2 linked regions of the Tamandua tetradactyla genome follow. The protein of the gene in region 2 purifies or fractionates together with the protein of the main gene of each other region. This does not show direct contact. Links are inferred from orthologs where the notes say so. Each region holds a gene or a part of one and is shown on either strand. Other genes may lie near its edges.

Region 1 (7,508 bases), on a different chromosome or scaffold from region 2:
TATACAAGCTTAATATATACAATTAACATTACTAGCTAACGAATAAATCAAACGTGCATAGCACAGGAAATTAAGAATTTAATTGTTTTAAAACTAAAAATAAATTTCTTTTTGGGATCAAAGAATATGTTGCTCCAAAGAAGTAAAAAGCCGCACCTTCACTCTTATGAAAACACAACCAATATTTGAAGGGACACAAAAATTATACCCTGCCTTGACTGCCCCCAGGGCTAGCCAAGGGAGACACAGATATTATTGATTTATATTATTTTATATTACCTATGTATGTATGTATACATAAAATTGCTTGTATTGCTTGTAAGGGACTCTATTCCTAAGAAATGAAGTCTAATAACATGTTATCCCCTTAAATCTTGTGAAGTAGGTTAATGTTGTCTTACTCTTATTTTACTAGTACAGTATCTTGCACATAGTAGGAATTCAACACTGACCTCAAACTCCCCAAGGTGGAAATTTACAATAGCGTATTTACCATATCCTTTGTTGAAGACATCTTTGGCAGCCTTTCCTAGGTCACAGTAAGTCGGTGTGTTACACATATCTTACAAGGAAAAATGGGATCAAAGGAATAAAAATAACCATTTAGTATTTATTCAGCCATAGTGAGAAAAGGTATACAGTCTCTTCCTTTGCATCATTAAAGCTTATACCCTTATGCAATCAGATTAAGAGAAGGCATTTTACTCCTTAAAAAGAAAGAGCTTTCCAGAACACTGGAATAAAAGGGTTTTCCCACAAGTCACAGAGGTCATTTTTCTGATTGCATTTCCAAAGAAAAAAAAAGTTCTCACAGCCTGAAGGAGATGCTTTGTTAAAATGGACTTCCCAAATTCATCTCAGTAAAACATTTTTCAGGCTATTATAGAAGCCAAAGCGTATGTGAGCCAACGAGGTAAATTTTTTAAAGAATTCTAAGAATAGATACAATCAAAACCTCAGGGTTAACATTATTATTAAGATGAAATTCAGTTCTTAAAATAAGAATTTACCATACTAAATGAAATGGATTCAGCCAGAATATGCTGTTTCTCAAAGCCCTTTTTAAAATGAAGTCAAGAATCATACTTACTAACCAGAAGTAGAATGGATTCTACCTGGAGCAATCAGTTTACCAACAATTGGTATAAAGCCTAAGGTGAAAGCCTTCAAAACCCAAGGTGCCTTGGCTTTCTATCTTGCCTATTTAGGATTCAGCCAACTTTTCACCTTGACCCTCATATCAAATTCTCAGCACTATCAACACTGCCAAATATATCATTCCTTTGCCCTCTTTCTATAATGGGAAATGTTTTTCTGCAGTTGTTTCTGTTCTGTCAAGTCGTGTAAACTCAAAAGCCATGTCTAACCAAATCCAGAACCACTCAAGCAGGCCCATTAGCCTGATTATTATACCAGAGCACCAGCTAGCATTTGCAGTTCCTATGCCTGAACTACCTATACATTCAAACTAATATTTACTTCTAGATAGCCTAACTCTTAATTAAATTTTCTGCTAAATTTCTGCCCATACCATCATACCTGCACATGGCATACATTTAAAATACACTTATCAATTGGCAATTCATTTAAAATTACTCTGTAACCTAAACCTATCAAATATATCAATATAAATATACTGACTCATATCATAATAAAACTAGGCTCTAAGCCATAGGGTTTCATAGTCTACTTACAGAACAGTTATTTTACAATTCAATCCCTTGTACTCAAATGATCGATTCTAGACTTTTTTTTAGTACAGTTCCAATTTCATTTTGATGATATTACTCTTTTTAATCACAAATTATGCTGGTATCTGTTGAAATTTTGTCAGAACTCTAATTTGGGAGGTAAGCATAGAAAAGCAGGCACTATATATTCAAGTAGAAATGTTAAGGCTTTTCATATCTGGTTTTTCATCTACTCCCGAGAGACTGGTTAATGTTTAGAAGCACCAAACACATGTGGGTACTAACTACTATTTGTCTTTTAGTATTTTTCCTTATTATTCAAAACCACTGCCAAATAATTTGCAAAAGACGTTAGCTGGTGTAGTTTACTAACTATTCTCAATTCTGCCCAGTTCAAGCTTACTTCTTCTGGTCCATGATTCTAATGGAAAATGTCTTACTGGTATGATCAAGCAAAAAATCAAGGAGACACAGAAACTTCATGTTACACGAGAGTAAAGCTATAGTCACATATTTCTATTAGCTCTATAAAATGCGCTTCTTGTTTGTTGATATGCACATTACACTGGTATTGCATTACATGCAGACAGAGGGGGGGGAAGGCGTTAACTAGGTAATACTGCTTTACCCAATCACTAACACGACATTAAGTATAGCGCTCCTTTTGTTCCTCGTTTGTCCTTTTTAAGCTGCACGTACACTCTTTGGACATAAGGAGCGGAATAGTTGCCGAGATGTTTGACAACTATTCCAGAGAGGAAGCTGGGGGCGGAGGTGGGGTGGGATTGAGGTTCGACGATTCAACTTCCCTAGGAACCAACCTCCTTTCTAGCCTGACTCCTGGAAAGAAAGTCCTGTCCGCACACTAGCAAGAGGGGAAGATCAAGGCTCTGCTCTCGGAGCACCACCTCTTCCACAGAGAGCGCGCAGGACCTGAGGCGGCAAGGAGAGCAAGGTCTCTGACAGGGACCACCGCCCCCTTCTGCTCTCCTCTGCCCCGCCTGGCCGGCGCCACAATCACGCCCCGTTAGACTGCTCTCTCCTTCCCTATCCCTCCGTTAGGTCCGTCTCTCGTCGGGTCCCTGCTTTGTCGCGACCCACCGCTCCCGTGGCCCTTTCGCTGGTCGAGCCGGCCCACGGCTTCGGCCCCGCCTCACCTCCTACAGGGCCTGTCTCGGATCCACCCGGGCAACGCTGAAGGTCTTCTTCAAACCAACGCCGTCCGCGCCTGCGCGACCTCACGCCCACCGCGGCGCCTGCGCGTCCCTACTCCCGTCCCGCACCGCGTTTGCGCCGCAGTGTCGTGCAGGGCTCGCTCGCGGCCAGCCTGGATGAGGAGCAGAACAGCTGGGGCGAACAAACACCACCAACTGTCTGGCTTCGTGTGTGCGCGTGCGCAGGAGGGCTCGGCGCGCAGGTGTCTGGGAGGTGGGGGTTGACGCGGTGCTGGAAAGGCCCGGGGACCGCACCTATTAGCCCTGGAAGGGGTTGACTGTCGCGTGAACGCCTCGAGGTCACTAGTTAAAATCCGCTAGAAGAGGATGTGGGGTTCCTCTGCAGATGGATGTAGTGGCCTGGCACGCCAGGCCATGACCGTTTCATTCTTGGGGGATGTCTTGCAGATCTTTATGGGAATCCCATCTCACACTGACTAGAATTGGAAAATGTGACCCTTAGGTCAGCTCATCTTAAAGATGAGAAAATAGAAGTCCCGAGGGGTAAGTGACTTATTCAAGGCCACACGAGTAACGGTAGATTAAAAACCAAGGAGGGGAGGAGAAGCAAGGGAACGTTCTTTACAGAAGAATACCAACTAATGAATGTGGAAGAAATTATGGAGAAATAGTAAATGGCCGCGTTGGAACCACCATACTAACAACTGATTTGGGCAAAAATTTTCCATGGAGAGTGGACTATTGATATTCCTACAGTTTCGAAGTATCACCCTGTAAATTACAGAGTAAATTACAAAGACAAAAGGATACCTTTACACCAAAGAAATCACCCTTAACCAAGTGATCAAACTCAGTATCCCCAGGGATGGAACAGACTGGCATCATGTGCCCCGTGATGGGATACACAGAAAAAAGTGCAAAGGTAATATTTTTGCCAAAAGTGTGTAACGTGTCATTCATAAAGAAACAATCAGACAAATCCTAACGGAGGTATAATCTAAAAAACAATTCTCTTAAAAAACGTAAATGTCATGAAAATTTTCTTTTTTAAAGTCTGGTTAACTGTTCTAGACTATAGGAGACAAAAGAAGGACAGGACACTAAAAGCTATGCTTGGTCCTAAATTGGCCCCTGAATTTAAAAAGATGAATAAGGAACCTTACTGGGTTAATTAGGGAAATGGGGAAATTTGAATATAGAACATATATTAGTATCATAACAATGTAAAGTATTTCTGGGTAATAATAGTATTTGGATTATAGAGAAATGTCTGCTTTTAAAGATTAGTACTGAAGTGTGTAGTAGTAAAATAGCGTGGTCTGCAACATAACTCTCAAATGGTCCAGGAAAAGAGAAAGGGAGACCGGAAAAGTAAATGTGACGTATGTTAAGAATTGGAAGATCTAGATGAAACGTATATGGGTGTTCATAGCACTATTCTTGAAACTTTTCAATGAGTTTTCAGATGTTCAAAATTTAAAAATTGGGGAGAAAAATAATATAAAGTCTCTGATGTTCAGTCCACAACACCAGGCTGCTTACTTAAATCAATAGCCAAATACTATTTGCCTGCTGTGTGTAAAGCATCTCAAGTTAGCCAAAGAAAAATAAGATAAATACCCCCAAGAGACTCATAATAATCTAAGACTTGGATGAAAAACTACTGAATGAGGCAGAATATGATAAATGTCATAAGCAAGGCAGTATAGCATAATAGGCTGAATGGAATGAGTTTCAGAGTCAAAAGAAGCTGCCAGCTCTGTGGTATTAGGCAAGCTACTTAACCTTTCTACCTCAGTTTCATATCCCTAAACAGAACTAAGTAATATCTACCTCAGAGGATTGTAGTGAATATTAAAAGAAGTAATGCATCCAAAGCACATAACAATCTACCTGGCATATGGAAAGTATTCATTAGTTAATAACATGAAAATTATTATGAGTTTAAAAGCAATCGAAGCAGAAACGATATTTGTTCATGTATGTAGTTATTTCTCGGGACACTTGTTCATTAGAGTCACAACTTCAGCCTTTTTTTTTGGCTCAGCTCTGGCCTTGTCATATACAGGTACCTCTAAGGTCATAAACACTTTGGATGGGAATTTGACAACATTCCTTTCTTCCTCTTCTGTTATCCAAATATCTTTTTTCTGAAAGGACCTAATAACACCACTCCCAGATCATCCACAGAGACTTGTTCTCTCTCACGACATTTGAAGCAGGAAGATGATGAGCGAAACCGAGAAGGAAAAACAGTCATGAAGGAGGAAATCCTTCCTTTGTTTCGTGTCCCTCTGGCCCTGTCAATTTAGCTGGATCCAGATTAATGTTTTTGATAAACTGTCTGTTTTAGTTGCCCAGGCTGCTCAAAGCAAATATCATGAAATGGTTTGACTTTAACAATGGGAGTGTATTCGCTCGTGGTTAGAGTCCAGAAAAATGACCAAATCAAGGCATCCCTAAAGCAATGTTTTCTTCCTTGAAGACCAGCTGTTAGTGATCCTTGGCTCCTCTGCCACATGGCAAAGCACATGGTGGTGTGTGCTGCTCTCTCCCTTCTCTTTCAGGTTTTGTTGCTTTCAGCTTCATGCTTATGTGGCTTTTTTTTTCCCTGTGTGAATTTCATTCTCTTAGAAAGTATCCCAATAATAGGATTAAGATCAATCCCAAATGCACTAGAGTTAACTTGCTGGAAACCTACAGCCTCCAGATGGGTCCCTGGTCCAGATAAGTCCTGAAACCTAGCCCAGCCTCTCCAGAACATCAGATAGTTCCATCTCCCTACTCCATACTAGTGACAGACACTTCCAATATCAAAAATTTAGAATTTGCCATAGCCCAAACAACCCCAATGAGAGGTATGGAAAGATCAAAGGTGATGGTGGAATTATATATAAGAGATAGGATTTAACAATTGAATATGAATGCTGAATCATTAAAATGATATCTCTTATAGTCTCCAGTATTTTAGAGCAGCTAGAAGTAAAAACCTAAAATTGTGAAATTATAACCCATGTCAAAGTCTAAAATATGTTCTACAACTAATTGTGGTGCTGTGCTTGGAAATTTATAGCTTTTTCGTATATATGTTATTGTTCACAAAGAAAGAAGGAAAAGAAAGTAGATTATGATAATAAAGTATTTAAGCCCTCTAGCCTCCTATATTCTGGAGCAGCTAGGAGGAAAAATATGAGAGGATCATGTGGTAGCCCATGACAAACTCTGTAAACAGTTATTAAACAGTGCTGTGAAAACTATTGCTTTTTTATTTCTTTGCTTTATATATATGCTATGTTATACAATAAAAAAGGTTAAACAAAAAAATCAATCCCAGTTGAGGTGCACCACACCTCAAGTATATATATATAAAAAAGCTATAACTGAAGTAGCTTCATCAAAAGATCCTACTTATACTGGGTTTACACCCACAGGAATGACTTAACTTTAAAAACATGTTTTTCTGGGGGTTATGCAGCTCCAGTGACCACACTGTTCACATCAAGACCCTGGCCTTAGCCACCTCCAGAAACTACACCAGCAAGTGACTGCAAATTCTCATGCCCCCACCCACACTTGGATCTGAATTCTTGGGAAGCATAGAAAATACTCTCTCAGTCAAAATCATGATAACAGTATTCTTCCCTTATAAAATGTACAGAATTTTAGAGCGGAGAAGGAACTCCTTCACTTGAGAGATGTGTGCTAAGGCTTATTATCTATAGGGCTCCATGCTCACAGCTGAAACAAGAGGAAACACCCAAAATATCATTGCCCTGTGGGTGTGGAGACCCATTAGATGGGTGCCCCATCATGAGCAGGTTCCAATACAGATTACCCACTTAAGTCAAGATAACTTCTGATCTGCCTATGTTGCCTTTTTGGAAAAAAATGTCAGAAGATTTGTATAGTTTACTCTCAGAAATGAAAATAACATGAGAACAGAGGCCCCACTGTGAAGATCTGGTAACTCAACTACCATAAGAATATTATAAGATTATGAAATCTAGGGGGTATTGGTTTGTTAATACTGCCAGAATGCAATATACTAGAAATGGAACTGCTTTTTCTATCCATATGGTTTTTTCCGGCGGGGGCGGGGGGTGTTTTGTTTTGTATTTTTTGGCATGGGCAGGCACCAGGAATCAAACCTGGGTCTCCAGCATGGCAGGTGAGAACTTTGCCTGCTGAGCCACTGTGGCCCACCCTGAAACAGCTTATGAAAAGTGAATTTACTAAGTTGCACGTTTTCAGTTCTAAGGCCATAAAAATGTCCAAACTAGGGCATCCAGAGAAAGATATCTTGACTCAAGAAAGGCCAATGGGTCTGGAACACCTGTTTCAGCTGAGAAGGCACATGACTGGCACCTTGGCTTCTGGTTTCCAGCAGCTTCCCCAGCGGCATTTTATTCTGGCATCTCCAAATATCTGGGTCTCATGTGCATCTGCTCTCTCTGTCAGCACTGCAAGCATCTAAGCTTCCTTCGTAATGTCTCCCCTAAGGACTCCTGTAAACTATCAAGGCCCACCTTGAATGAGTGGAGTCACATCTCAATCTAATCAAATTTCACAACTACACAAATCAATAGGCCATGCCCTCGATCATGAGGCTTGCTTTTGTGAAGCTTATGTAGGTAGCTTAGAA
Region 2 (7,576 bases):
TTCATTCCCAAGGCCAACTTGCCAGGCCAGGTCGATTTTGCCAAGTCTAGGCACAAAGGAGGCAATAAAGTCTCCTACTTCACCAAAGCACAGCCCTCTTTAAGGCCACGGCCACTGAGAAGCCGTGATTCCTGCCCAGCTTCGCCAGAGAAACACTGGCTACAGGCACAATAGTCCTTCCAAATCACACACACGGAGAGGATTTGCCTGGCAAAGGTGTCATTTCAACCACTTCGGCTTCAGGGTCCCTGAGCATCCCCCTCACCAGTTTCTAAGGTACTCAAGGGGCAAAGAATATCTTGAATTCACATCCACACGTTAAAACTCCTGCACAGGTTTATTGCAGATCTGGCATTATCTGTGGGAACAGGCCTCAAAACCTACATGCAGGCTGCAGATGTAAAGGGTTACTGATAAAACCATGCAGGAGAAAACAATCACATAAGCAAGTGACTGATCAACTGCAATACTCCCCAAAAGATGGCTTGTGCACACCTCTGGCAGCATGTGCGTACGACTAAGCCCAGGGTTTCCAAATCACAGCACTTCTGTCATTCGGGGCTGGACAATTCTCTTGTGGGGGGCTGTTCTGGACACTGTAGGGTTAAACGTTAAGCAGCATCCCCGGCGTCTACCCACTGGATGCCAGTAGGCCCTCCCTGCTTTTCCCACTCCGCACTGGGGCAAGCAAAAACTGTTTCCAGATGCGGCCAAATGTCCACTGGAAAGCAAAACGGCCTGGGTTGAGAATCACTGATCTTGTTAGTACGCAGAATATCTTTTCCAAATTGTACTTTAGTGATGTATTTATTTTAATAGCTACAGGGTAAACACACGAAGATCACCAACCGTGATTTCAGATATTCTAAAGTGATATGAAACTTCCTTTGGAGACAAATTTATTTAGGTTTAAAAAAAATTAAATTAATTTAAAGCATTATGTAAATACATATGTAGTATGTGCTGGCTGGCTTACTCAACAGCCTTTCCCAACTCCCTTCTTCTTTGCTGTTTCTCACTAGAGGTATAAAACCAAATGCTCACTTTCCGTGCCTCCCATACACATTAAAAGTCATCTTCAGATCCAGCTCCAGCCAGGAGACGTGAGCAGACATCTATCATGTGCAGAGAAGGGCTTTCGGGAAACCTTTTTACTTACTTAACTGAATAAAAAGGTCAAACGTGGCCAATTTGCTCTTCTTGCTTCCTACCTTGAATCCAGTTGTGACTGTTAGAGCTAAAGCAGCCATTTTGGGTCCTTGAGGGAAAAACAAAGAAAATGGCAAAGACATCAATTCTGACACCATTGTGTCACTAACCAAAGGCCAGCAATGCCTGCCTAACTCTAGATCTCTCGATATGTCAGAAAAAGGAATACCTTTAATGTTTAGGCCACTGGAATCAGGCTGTTTCTTTCAGCAGAATGCAATTCTAACAGATATGTGCTGAAATATAGTTGTCAACATCATAACAATACACAAATGACTGAGCTGAAGCACAGTGGAGAGAAAGGCAAGCTTCAAGTTCCAACTGCCAGGTCTGAATACCGTCTATATTCCTTGCTAGTTTTGTGACTTTGGGCCAATGTGACTACATCTCAGTTTCCCCTTCTATTAAAAAACAGATCATAAAAGCATCTACCGAACACTAGTTTGAGCCTCAAACAAGATATGTACAAGGAGGGCTTAGAAAACTACTTGATCTGGAGTAATTCTCAATACATGTTATTTTACTTATTAATAAAAAGTTTATTAAATAATAATAAACCAAAGGCACAAAGTAGAGATAAGAATAAAGCAAAGACTTGAATTGATTTCGTTATTGGTTCTTTCCAACTCTTGGGAAGGACGCTGCCTTTGAGGATAATATTTAAAAGGTAGTATAGGAGTTAGAGGCTGAACAAGCAGGGGAGAAGAGACAGCCACAGCTTCCTGGTGAATTCGAGACCTGTAGGGCCAGATTCCAGCCTCTTCTTGCCTTTCCCCTCCCAGCGCTGCTCTCTGAGCTCCAGCCACACTATCCGAGTTGAGCTGGGGCTTCTGCACATGCTTTTCCCACTGCCTGGAATACTCTCACGTTCTGTTTTTGCCCATGTAGCGGAAACTGCTAGCTGCGCACCAATATCCCTTCTCCCCTGATGCCCAGTAATAGAATCCTCAGTAGGGCGCATGCGCGTCCGAAGGGAAACTACATTTCCCAGCCTCCCTGGCCGCTCCGTGGCCATATGACTAAACGCAGGCCAGTGGGGAGAAGTGATGTGGGCAACTTCCAGGCTGTGCCCTGCTCAGCCCTTTCCCACTGGCTGCAACGTGTCCCTGAGGGTGGGCCACCTGGCTCCATGCAGAGGACAGCAGCACCCTGGGGCAGCAGAGCCACGAGATCGGGGGGCCTGGGTCCCGCAATTTGGGGGGCAAGAGCAGTCATACCAGCTGGCATTGTTACATGAGAGAGAAATTAACTTCTATCGTAAGCCACAGTATCTTGGGTCTTGGCCACAAACGGCCCCAATACAGGCTTCTCCCTTGGGGAGATTCTCCTTTCCTCTCCGAACAGATCAAACCCCTCAACTGCACTCACTGAGTACCACGAAGCTCCCTTTCATCACACCTCATGGTTCCGATTTTCCATTTATTTGTCTGTCTCCCCCACAAGACTGGAAGCTCAAAGAGGGCAGGGAGCTCCGCCTCCGCACTGCTGGAGTCCCAGAGCACAGACATGGGGGCCCTCAAAGCTTGAGTGGGGTCAAGCGGTGAGACCAGCGAGGTTCAGGCCCCATCCTTTAGCACAATTCACATCCTGGGGTACAGACCCTCTGAGGTTCTGTCTCCCACGAGGGGGCATCTAAGATAACCTAAAATGTACCCCTTTCAACACTCGTCACTCAAGCCTTGCCTCTTGCTTTCTCCAGGACCTCCCTGTCCACAGAGGTTAAAGAGAAAGACTCTGGCCATCTGCCTCAAGAGGGAACAAGTATTAGTAAATTAATTAGGTTCATGTTTACATTTCATCTTCAAGTAGATATCTGTTAATTTTTAAAAAGTCCTGTATCCAAGATGTACTAGTAAATGAAAACAAAAATAAAGAAAAGAACATGCTTTCATAGGATCCCATTCTTGATTTTTTAAACATTATATATTTAAGATATACATTAAAGAGAGACTGAAGGGCGGGCCACGGTGGCTTAGCAGGCAGAGCTCTCGCCTGCCACGCCAGAGACCCGGGTACAGTTCCCAGTGCCTGTCCATGCAAAAAAAAAAAAAAACATGAAAAAGAGAGACGGAAAATTAAAATCTGCCAATAAAAGATTATCTCTAGAAGAGTGTCATTATGAGAGATTCTCCCTTCAGGCCATGTCCATTTCTGTACTCTTTCATTTAAACTGTATCTCTCATACTGGCAGACAAAGAAAAGAATAAGTACAAGAACAGAAAAAAAAAAACCCACTCAGTAATTCAATCATTACCAATTATTTTAGTAAGAGAAAACCTGGAACTTTCCAAATATGTAAATGCCAGCAGCTCTGGAAGTTGCCACATTCTACCTTCACTCATGTGCCATGGATTTTGGTATTTAAGCAAGTTTCTCGACTCCCCAGTTGCAAATAAAACTTCTGGGTGAGTGTCCCCATACACGAGCCCAATTGCAGAGCTGACACCAGATACCCATCTTGTCCGGACGAGTCCTTGGAATGCTCCACCCAGATTGGGCACAGACACCCAACAACGGCTGGATGCATCACCTCAAGTGGTCTCGAATGCTGGTGGCGGGCTTCTGACCCCTGGGACCCAGTCTCCATCCCAGCCTACTCTGCAAGTGCCCAGAGACTGCCAAGGGATGAGAAGCCAGCAGAAAATCGCCACATCAGAAAGCACCAAGCCACTGGGCTCAAATGTCCCCCACTGTCCCCTTTCTGTTCATCACCACGGCTGGCATCTGTGGAACCCCTACGACATGCCAGCCCCTTAGCACCCTCTACGTGGTCACTCCTTTCTTCCTCAGGGCCCCATAAGAGCTGCAGCATGATCCTTATCCCCACTTTACAGGTGAGGAAATGGAGGTTCCCAGAAGGTAAGTGACTTGGGCCACATTTGCCCACTGGGAAGTGGCAGGACCACTTTCAAACCCAGGCTCCCTAACCAGCCCTCCTGAGCCCAGTTATCGACCTCCCTGGCTCTCTTTGGAGATGTACCTTCTCCTTGTCCGAGCATCTCTAGACCTTCCACCGCCCAGGCCTGTCCCTCCCCTGAGACTCTTCCAAGAATAAAGCGGGTCTGACCCAGGTGAGCCCTTTCTCCAACTCTGCCCCCAACATGGAGGGCGAAACAACCTACCTAGTGCACAGGTCTGGGGTCAGGGGAGCAAAATATGGGAGTGCCCCATTAATCTATAACTGCAGTTCCCAGACAGATCATCATCTAACATGTATGTCTGCTCCTCAACCCTGGGTTGGTGAATTAATGCTCTTAAGGAAGAAGTTCGATAAATGGGCCAGAGTAGCACACCCAAATGAGGAATATGTTGTCGCCAAAATCCGAAGAGACCAACTAGGCGTTGTGCCTCTTTTCTGGTCGTAGGAGGGACCAGATGCAGCAACTTATCCTTCACCTTAGAAGGATTGGAGGGATATCTTGACATGCCCCACACCACTGGACACCTAGAAATTTCACTGAGGTGGAAGGCCCCTGCATTTTTGTTGGATTTATCTCCCATCCTCTGATACGCAAATGCCCTACCAGTAAGTCTAAAGTAGTTGCTACTTCTTGCTCACTAGGTCTGATCAACATGATATCATCAGTATAGTGGACCAGGGTGATATCTTATGGGAGGGAGAAACGATCAAGGTCTCTGCGAACAAGATTATGACATAGGGCTGGAGAGTTGATACACCCCTGAGGCAGGACAGTGAAAGTATATTGCTGACCTTGCCCACTGAAAGCAAACTGTTTCTGGTGGTCCCTACTAACAGCTATCGAGCAAAAAGTATTTTCCAGATCAATAGCTGTATACCAGGTACCAGGGGATGTATTGATTTACTCAATACCAGGTACCAGGGGATATACTGATTTGCTCAAGTAATGATAACACATCTTGAACAGCAGTTCCAATTGGAGTTACTAGCTGGTTGAGCTTACCACCTGGTTGAGCTTACAATAATCCACTGTCATCCTCCAAGACCCATCTGTTTTCTGCACAGGCCAAATAGGAGAGTTGAATGGGGATGTGGTGGGAATCACCACCCCTGCATCCTTCAAGTACTTAAGAGTGGCAGTAATTCCTCCAGAAATCCGGTATTGCTTCTGATTTACTATTTTGTTAGGTAGGGGCAGTTCTAGTGGCTTCCACTTGGCCTTTCCCACAATAACAGCCCTCACTGCACAAGTCAGAGAACCAATGTGGAGATTCTGCCAGTTGCTCAGTATGTCTATACCAATTATACATTCTGGAACTTGGGAAATAACAACAGACTGGGTCCGGGGGCCCATTGGACCCACTGTGAGACAGACCTGAGCTAAAACTCCATTGATCACCTGGCCTCCATAAGCTCCCACTCTGACTGGTGGACCAGAGTGACATTTGGGGTCCCTTGGAATCAATGTCACTTCTGAACCAGTGTCTAATAATCCCTGAAATATCTGATCATTTCCTTTTCCCCAATGCACAGCTACCCTGGTAAAAGGTCATCAACCTCCTTCGGGAAGGCTTGGAGGAAGATTAACAGTATAAATTTGTAGCACTATAACAGGGTTCTCCCCCAAAGGGACCTGGCCTCCCCTTCATTCAAAGGGCTCTGGGTCTGTAAACTGTCTCAAGTCTGGAAATTGATTAAGGGGCCGTGACTCTGTGTTTTTATAATTCAGGTTAGACTTCTGTTGACTTGACCTAGAACTCTTATGTTTATACAGATCAAACAAGAATTTAGTAGACTGCCCATCTACTGTATTTCTAGGTACCCATGATTTACTAGCCAATGCCACAAATCTCTGCAAGTCATATAATTTTGACTCCTGCTTTTTGAGTTTGCTATCTATTATAATGGCCATGTCCACCCTGTCCTTGGCGATTAAGTGTTGCCACCTGGCTTCTGCCAACTTGGGATCCAGTCATCCCCATTGTATTTAAGGATTCCAGTTCAGTGACAGCCGTTTCCACAGTAATATCTGACTTACAGAAAAGTGTAACTCCAGAGCTCTTCAGGGATGATGGCGCTAGTCTAACAAATTTTTTTCTCACTGTTCTGGTAAAATGTGCATCCTCCGGACATTCCTGGGGTGTAAGAGCAGGCTTTGCATGATAAATCCACTCTAACATTCCAATCTCTCTACGCCTCTGGATCCCCTCATCTACATTATACCAGAGCAGTTCTGGCATTTCAACTTCAGGTAATGTCGGCCACCCTTTGACCCATGTACCGACCAACAAACTGTTAAAACCTTTTCAAACCCCTCGAGCTATAACATTGAATGCAGAATCTCTGCCTAGTGGGCCCATATCAATAAACTCAGCCTGATCCAGCCTTATATTCCTCCCACCATTATCCCACACCCTTAAAATCCATTGCCACACACATTCCCCTGATTTCTGTCCATATAAATTGGAAAACTCACACAGTTCTTTTGTAGTATAACATACCTCCACATGTGTGATACCTCACCTTTAGGGGCCTGTTGGGACTTTAGTCTAGTTATAGGTCTGTAAGAAATGAGGGGCTATAGGGGTGGGTGGTGAAAAGAATTAGAAATATCTTCCAAGCCATTTGCTTCAGGGCATTCATTTGCAGTTTCAACTGGTGAAACAGGATTAATCCCTCTAGGGCTAATCCTTCAGGAGGAGGTTGAGTGGCCAACCCCTCAAGGCAGGTTGGAGGTGGGGCGGCTGTGTCCTCGGGACAGACTATTACAGGATTATCTAGAGAAGACTCAGTATGACCTAGGGTTTCAACTTCACCCCAACACCATTATCAATCCATGTCACCATCCCATTTTCCAGGTCCCACTCCTTTCCAATCAATGCCCTCACTTTAACGGCAGACACCATGCAAGACTGAGATTTCAGTTTATGTTGCAAAGTTGCTACTCTAACAAATAAGATTCTGAGTCTGATTTTCAGAGATCTCAAGTCTACGGCTACAGGAAATAAGATTTTTCCTTCAGGATACTCATAGAAACCTCTACATCTATTATATGGCACTTAAGCTTCTCATTTGAAACCTTAAACCCATCCCTTTCACTCCTTAATATATCCAGTGTATCAAACAACAACCAGCCAACATCTCCATACCTCTTAATTCCACAAAACTCCATAAAGGTATCAAAAACATTACCCCCAGAGCCTTCACATAAGCGAAGTATTAGGAGAATCAAATGGTGATATTTTGACTATCTCTTTTGCCAACTCACTCCATGGATTGGGAGTGTCATTCTGATTATGGGAATCAGCGCCCTTAGTACCCTTGAGTCAAGTCAGAGTAGAAAACCATTCATAAAAACCCATTTTTAAGATTCTGTTTCTTATGAACCACTCCTGGTAGTATGCTGTATTAGTACTAAGTTAGGGTTCCCTAGAGAAACAGAATCAA

Evidence for each region.
Region 1: the proteins of ABCC1 (region 2) and VDAC3 fractionate together in Homo sapiens (co-fractionation; 3 studies listed by BioGRID). This does not show direct contact. The link is inferred for Tamandua tetradactyla from reciprocal best matches to the Homo sapiens genes ABCC1 and VDAC3.

What each region holds. Positions count from the first base shown.
Region 1 is NC_135329.1:17,993,094-18,000,601, reverse strand, and holds the start of VDAC3 (non-selective voltage-gated ion channel VDAC3), read right to left. Parts: upstream 3,057-7,508; 5' UTR 2,849-3,056; intron 563-2,848; 5' UTR 561-562; coding exon 494-560; exon of another isoform or gene 453-493; intron 1-452. UniProt on the Homo sapiens protein: Non-selective voltage-gated ion channel that mediates the transport of anions and cations through the mitochondrion outer membrane and plasma membrane.
Region 2 is NC_135349.1:38,147,096-38,154,671, reverse strand, and holds the start of ABCC1 (multidrug resistance-associated protein 1), read right to left. Parts: upstream 3,007-7,576; 5' UTR 1,308-3,006; coding exon 1,212-1,307; intron 1-1,211.